Rattus norvegicus: one gene and its partner. The protein of the gene in region 1 binds, or shares a complex with, the protein of each later gene. Links are inferred from orthologs where the notes say so. Each region holds a gene or a part of one and is shown on either strand. Other genes may lie near its edges. The genes, in order: Bbs7 and Arl6.

Region 1 (3,824 bases):
ATATTCGGTTTAGTTTTACTTATTTTTGGAGTTCTGATAGTGAATCCTGACACAACTAGAAAGAGTGCGTGCCACTGTATAGAGCGACTGCAGGTGGCAATTACCAATCGTATGCTGCAAAGGCTGCAGGAAACCATTTTCAGCATTTCCACCCAAGACTGTTCAACATTATGCTCAGGGACCAGCAGGATGACTCAGTGGGTAAAGATGCCTACCGCTGAAACTGAAGCCTGAGTGTGATTCCAGGGATCCGGATGGTGGAAAGAGAGAACCCATAACTGAACGTTATCCTCTGCCTCCCATGTGTGCAGTGTGTGCGCTTACACACAACATGCACACAAATATGCCCCATAAACATTAATATATAAATAAGTGTAATTTAAAATACTTTAAGGGAAAATATTGATATCATATGATACCACCATTCATATAGTTTTTGTTTTTAATGTGTCAGAAAATAAAATTAATAAGAAATAGATAAAAATTCTATGTATGGAGAATGTCTGTCTATATTGACTCTATGCCTTAATTACATTTAAATCTTCTGAACTAGAATGACTTCACCTTGTCTTTCTTCTCTAAGAAAACAGGTCCTTAAGTGTCTAGATGCCAGTCTGTTATCAGGACGCACCTGCTGTCAGGTAGTTTCGATGGAATCCTAACAGTATGGCTTAAATGTCTACACCCTTATTACCGTAAAACATGTATGAAAACCATCGATGAAAAGCAAACATGTTTTCCCTATACTGTGTTGTTATAATTTAGAGATGCTAGAATAAAATATTTAATACCTAGTATGTTTTAAATTATATTTAAGAGAGAGAATGAAAAAGGAATTTATTCTTCAGCTTAAGGGCAATACTCCACCACTGAACAGGAGAACAGACCAGAGATTTTGGTAATGGCAACATTTTTACAAGTATTTATTTATTTGTCCTGGTGGTCAGACCTGGAGCCTTGGACACTTTAGGAAAGGGTTTATCAGTGAACAGTGTCCTGGCCCTTCTTCATTTCTGCTCTGGGGCAGAGTCTCAGTAAAGTTGATTACTCTTCCAGGCAGGCCTTGAATTCCTGATCCTTTTCCCTCAGGATCTGGTTGGGATTTAGAAGCCTCACCAGATTGGGATAGAAAAACAACATTGTGTTTTGTTTGTTTGTTTGTTTTTTTAATTGTACTATATTTTTAATTTAGAAAAATTCAAACTATCAACCATATCTACAGTAACTAACCAACAGTAAGTAAATAGTCTTTGTTTGTTTTGCTTCTGGTTTATAGTCTTAGGGGCTGAACCAGGACTTTATACACACCAGGCAAGTCCTCCACACCAAGCTACCACTCCAGGCCCCACACAAATCTTTCTAAATTAACTTACCTGATCAAATCGTAGCACGGGTTCATTTGCATTCTCAAAACTATACACTTCCACCATTCCATCATCTCTCCCAACAAGTAAATCTTTAACCCCATCACCCATGATATCAAAGCTGTCAAGACACAAGATACCTGTAGAAAGCGGGGGCGGGGTGAGTAATGAGAGCAGTGAGACAGGAAACTGATAGATGCAGGAGAGGGTAGACATATACTCACATAGTACCACACAGTCATCAAAACTTATTGTAAAAAGAACACCTTTGCATATAATTGGGTGTTTTTCTCTTTGCAAAGCTTCAAACAATTTACACAGCAGTGCACCCACACAGCAGTGCACCCGCACAGCAGTGCACCCGCACACGTTTACATCTCCCTTAGCTCTGACCCTCAGGAAGCCCCAGGCTCTTATGTGGCACCTTCCCGTGCACACGGGCACCTCACGCTCTTCCTCCCCCAGCACAGTTCTTTACTACTCTACTGCACTGTTTCAGCACTGCTCACTCTCTGGTTGTCCCCCATTTCCAGTAAATTACGCTACTCAGCACACAGACGAAACACTTCCAGCTCTATCCCTGACATCTTCTTTCCCCTCTCTTCTTTCTCCTTCCATAGTAAGGGTGAATCAGGATGCTGTAAACTAGAGTTACCAGGATGCTGGTAACTGTAACAACCTCCGAGTGCTCTCTGTTTCCAATGTGGATGTTTCTTCCCAAACCCATCCTCTATGCAAATCTATTTTGTTCTTTTTAGTGAAACTGACCACGTCACACCTTCCACATAAACTTCTCCCGGGACTGCCCACTGCACTCTAATTGGAGCCCCCGCCTCCAATGCTTCAAGGACCCACAGTCTGTCCCTGCTCCTGCGATTCTCCTCAGGCCGCACTGCTGCTCAGCCACACTGGTCTTTCGAGTGTCCTCCGATGACTCTAGCCCACCTCCGTCTCAAGAGCTTCGTGATTAGTTTTTCCTCCTCTTAGAATATTCTTTCCCCAAAACTTCTCAGCTCAAATTGCCTTTCCTACAGCACCTTCTTCCTCTGAGTCTAAGAGGAGCTGTGCCCACCATCCCTCCCTCACCATTCACTGTTACTGTGTTCTCTTCAGGTGACGGGGCAGTGAGCACGCACAGTCACCACCCATTCTCTCGCACAGGAAGTATTTGCTAAGGATAAATGAACAGATGAACAAACTCCCTGTACATATACAGAGCCGTTTCACTGGCTGCCAAGTTGGGCGTAAATCTTTGGAAATCTGTAAGGTCTTTAAAAACTTGGAATAGTTTCTAACCCACTACATTTCTTATGTCCTAGATTCCAATTAATTCTCTATCCCAGTTACAGTGGGGTTTAGTGTGGACTAAACGCTATTAACCTGTATGTCTATCCTAAACTAGAAGTAGCATTTCTTATTTTAAAAATCACATCTATAGTATAAGAGTTGCCATAACCAAATAGTAGGTAAGTCAGAGGTAAGCCTGCTGTCTGATATAACTAAATCAAACAGAATACACTGCACACGCTATTGCATTAGATGACTCTTGCCATTTCATAACCTGAACCGTGTGGAAGCCTACCTCCCCGCTTTTTGTCATTTCGAATTTCCCATTTGTGTATTGGTTTGGATGCTGTGATCTGAATAAGCCCAAGCCTTCCATCTGATGTGCCGAACAGAAGACCTTCCCCAGAGTCACCTAGATAAAATTAAAATGAACAAAAACATGCAAATACCTTTTAAAAACATTTTTTTTTCTGGAGCTGAGAACCGAACCCAGGGCCTTGCGCTTGCTAAGGCAAGAGCTCTACCACTGAGCTAAATCCCCAACCCCCTAAAAACATTTTAATGTAAAAATCTCATTTTTCAAATGCTACAATAAGGGAAATTTTTAAAGGGAAAATATTAGGTATATATGTATCAAAACATCATGATACCATTCATATGTAGTTTGTTTTTATGCATCAGAAAAATAAACTTATAAAAATAGAAAAAGATTCCATATATGCCAGAATGTTGACTTTATACCATTTAGTTACATTTACTTTTTCTGAACTAAAATGACTATCTAGCATTTCTTCCTTGTAAGAAAGCTGGTCCATAAGCATCTAAACTCGAGACTATTACTACTCCTCTGCTCTGAGGTCATTCCTATGGAATCCTAACAATGGCCTCCAGCTCTATGCTCTTAGTACAACAATGTCATCAAAGAGAACCAAACATGTTCCCCTGCACTGTGCAGTTATGGTTATAGGAATTAGAATGTCACATGGTGAAGCACATTCCCACAACTGATTTCAAGATGAGGAAGCCCAGTGATTTGTGAATCATAACTGAGCAGGAAGTGAGTGGACACTGCTACTGCACGGTAACAACTCCGTCTTGACTTCCCCTTTGCACGCATGGCTGGCTGTGACCATCGGGTGTGACTACCTCCGTCTCCATTATGCAGCGCTAAGA
Region 2 (3,824 bases), on another chromosome or scaffold:
CTGAAGGAAATTGATTCGCTTGGTAGCTATTCACTCCTAGCTTCTCAGATAGCATTGTGGCCTTGTGAGCTCTTCCCTAACCCATGCTGGAATGTTGGCTGGCTTGGGCAGTTCTTGTGTGGACAACCAAGGTGGTGAAGAGTTCATGAATACATTGACCCTGTCATGTCCAGAAGTCTCTGCTTGACTGTACCTCCCTCCCCAACCTCTGGCTTGTACAGTCTTTCTGCCTCCTCTTCCAGAATGTTTCCTAAGCCTTGGGAGGAGGGATGTGGTATAGAAAGGTGTTTGATTCAGAGCTGAGCTTTTGCAGTTACTTTTTTATGGACATGGACTGGTTGGGAATTTTTATATCAAAGCTATCCACTGCAAAAAGAAGCTTCTCTGATAAGGGTTGAAAGCTGCATTAATCTGTGGATATAATAATAAAAGTATAGACAGCAGTATTGATGTAGCACACTGATAGTAGTAGGTTTTCCCTATGCCCTCCTCATTTATGGGTTCGTGGTCAGGTTTGCTATGTTTTTCTGCCTGAAAAGCAGGCCTTAAATCCAACCAGAAAGCCATTGGTTTACCCCCATAACCCTCATGCCATGTTTGTACCCATGGACATCAGGTCCTATCATACAGCCTATCAGGTGTGTCAGTACACAGATGACGTAGACTTGCCTCCAGTTTTTGCATAGCACTTTCCTGCACTATGAAAGATAGCTATCAGGAAAGAAGCTTCTGGGTCAGTCTCAGCTGAATTTCTCCATATTATGTGACCAAAGTGTGTGATGTCTTCAGCCATAGTGTCTTAATATCATGAGCAACTAAGAGAAATGACCCATAATTCCCATGGGCAACTAAGAGAAATGACAATACCTTGTACATTGTTTGGAATAGTCTCTGGGACCCTCCCCTCCTAAGCCAACAACTGAAAGAGAGATAACCTATACATGGCATTAATAATAAACACTTCTCAAAGGCCTATCTTAAGAGCTTAGTCTCCAACAATAGGAACTCTGTCTTAGACTAGAGCTTCTAAAATTGTGGGCTGGTTTATCTTAGTATTTGCTCTAGGAACAGAAAGTTGACAAGACATTTTTCTTCTAAATATATGTGTGTGTGTGTGTGTGTGTATTTGTATGTTTATAACAAGTGTGTATATATGTATGCCTCTGTCTATATATCTGTATGTGTACACGCACACGTGTGTTTAAATGTGCATTTACTTTTCTGTTCTACAATGGTATTATAGTTAAAGCTCTTGTACATAATGGTCGGATGTTGTAGATAGTTAAGAAAAGATTGAGTTTAGTAAGATTAACTGAAATTATGAAGGAATGTATCCATTATTCCCAAAGAATTAGTGGTAAATTGCAGAACTATATAAGAGGTGGGTGAATAAGGACATTCTTTGTCTACCAATAGAAAACCCGACCCAAACTGGAAGCCACTCTGTAGAAAACAAAAACAGTAAAACTTTTATAATTACAAATTATTTAAAAAATATCACCATCCTCTGTTTTAGGTATTCGTCTAGTGGTTCAAAGGACATCTGCCCCTTTAACGTTTGCTTGCCTTTCTTCTGCTTTTGAAGCTTTAGCATCACGCTGCAGCTGAGTCTTGTTGCCTTTGTAGTGTTCCGTATCTACCAAACTCTCGTTCATAAATAACACTACACTTGGCAAACTCCGCGTGATACTGAGGCTAACAAGAGTTCCTTCCTGAATATTACAAGTGTGGTTGCTTCAGGGATGTTGTTCCTTGTTGCCAAGGCTTATAAGCTGCCAGTCTGCATTTCAGTTAAGACTCCTTTCTGATAATCGGCTTACACTGTTTACTGGGAGCAAAGCCACACGGATGGGTTTGTGTGCTGCCATTGTCTTTTCATTTTTCATGTACAGACAAATGCATTTCATGTGTAAGGTACCTTTGAAATAATAGTTTCTTTTCCCTTACAGTTGCTGTTTAAATATTTAAGCCACAATATGGGATTGCTGGACAGACTTTCAGGTTTACTTGGCCTGAAGAAGAAGGAGGTTCATGTTTTATGCCTCGGGCTGGATAATAGTGGGAAAACAACAATCATTAACAAACTGAAACCCTCAAATGTAAGTATTTCTGTTATTCTCGACATTTCCTGATACTAGAGAAATGTTATATGAAACATTCCTTTTAAGTTACAACTTCATATATTTGTATGAAGTCCTGCTAGTCTTGTAAGGAATATCAAAGGGATATCAGTGAACTGTAGCTTGCTACATATGCAACATATTTATTTATTTGTTTATTTATTTATTTGTTTATTTTCTTTTTTTCGGAGCTGGGGACCGAACCCAGGGCCTTGCACTTGCTAGGCAAGCACTCTACCACTGAGCTAAATCCCCAACCCCAACATATTTATGACTGTGTAGGTATATCTTGATTATTAAGATGGGATGTTCTCTTTTTCTTCCTTTATTTTCTCCTAAAGATCTTCACAAATTGGCTAAGTTTACTTACAGGTTGCACTCACTTTGTTTAAATTTCTTCTAAGTTCTGTGTATAATTAAACAATGGTGTGCGTATCAGTGACAGATGGTGATTTTGAGTAACATGTATGAAAATATTATTATTAAAACTATATAAAGCTAGCATGTGAAACATGATTCACAAGTCAGAGGTAGGCATTATTAAATATTATTCTTGATATTATTTCCTGAACCTTAAGCTGGAGGCAACTGTCTCTTACTTTTACCATGTTTAGATATGGGCCTTGAATTTCTGATCTTTCCAAGACTTTTATCATGGATAGAATTCTGCACTAAACCCATGTGGTCCTGGGCATTTTTTGATTGGGAGACTTTTAATGACTTCTGTTTCTATAGGGGTTATGGGACTGTTTAGATGATGTCTTAGTCAGGGTTTCTATTCCTGAACAAACATCATGACCAAGAAGCAAGTGGGGGAGGAAAGGGTTTATTCAGCTTACACTTCCACACTGCTGTTCATCACCAAAGGAAGTCAGGACAGGACAGGTCAGGAGCAGGAGCTGATGCAGAGGCCATGGAGGGATGTTACTCACTGGCTTCCTTCCCTTGCCTTGCTCAGCTTGCTTTCTTGTAGAATCCAAGACCACCAGCCCAGGGATGGCACCACCCAGAATGGTCTGAGCCCTCCCCCCTTGATCACTAGTTGAGAAAATGCCTTACAGCTGGGTCTCGTGAAGACATTCCCACAACTGAGGCTCCTTTTCTGTGATAACACCAGCTTGTGTCAAGTTGACACACAAAACTAGCCAGTACAGATGGTTTCTTTGATCATGATTTATATTTGGTACCTGGTATCTATCTAGAAAATTATCCATTTCCTCCAGATTTTTCAGTTTTGTTGAATATAGGCTTTTGTAGTGCTAGGATCTCATGATTTTTGAATTTCCTCTGATTCTGTTGTTATGTCTCCCTTTTCATTTCTGATTTTGTTAATTTGGATACTGTCTCTGTGCCCTCTGGCTAGTCTGGCAAAGGGTTTATCTATCTTGTTGATATTTCTCAAAGGATGAGCTCCTGGTTTTGTTGATTCTTTCTCTAGTTTTTGCTTCTACTTGGTTGATATCAGCTCTGAGTTTGATTATTTCCTGCCTTCTACTCCTCCTGGGTATTTGCTTCTTTTTGTTCTAGAGCTTTTAGGTGTGCTGTCAAGCTGCTGATATATGCTCTCTCCTGTTTCTTTTTTGGGGCACTCAGAGCTATGAGTTTTCCTCTTTGCACTGCTTTCATTTTGTTCCGTAAGTTTCAGTATGTTATGCCTTCATTTTCATTTAATTCTAAAAAGTCTTTAATTTCTTTCTTTATTTC

What was found.
Region 2: the proteins of Bbs7 (region 1) and Arl6 are in contact, whole or in part, in a cryo-EM structure (PDB 6VBV), measured with the Bos taurus proteins. The link is inferred for Rattus norvegicus from reciprocal best matches to the Homo sapiens genes BBS7 and ARL6. Residues at the interface, in NP_001178275.2 of Bos taurus: Leu3, Ile249, Val250, Gly251, Asp300, Gly301, Tyr302, Asp303, Thr319, Glu320, Pro321, His323, Lys324, Glu325, Ser326, Gly327, Pro328; in NP_001069250.1 of Bos taurus: Met132, Asp133, Arg135, Thr139, Ser140, Val141, Ser144, Trp157, His158, Ile159, Cys160, Ala161, Asp163, Lys166.

Annotation. Positions count from the first base shown.
Region 1 is NC_086020.1:121,388,774-121,392,597, forward strand, and holds part of Bbs7 (Bardet-Biedl syndrome 7 protein), read right to left. Parts: coding exon 3,798-3,824; intron 3,064-3,797; coding exon 2,947-3,063; intron 1,505-2,946; coding exon 1,374-1,504; intron 1-1,373.
Region 2 is NC_086029.1:54,184,332-54,188,155, forward strand, and holds part of Arl6 (ADP-ribosylation factor-like protein 6), read left to right. Parts: intron 1-1,949; 5' UTR 1,950-1,976; coding exon 1,977-2,099; intron 2,100-3,824. UniProt on the Homo sapiens protein: Involved in membrane protein trafficking at the base of the ciliary organelle. Mediates recruitment onto plasma membrane of the BBSome complex which would constitute a coat complex required for sorting of specific membrane proteins to the primary cilia.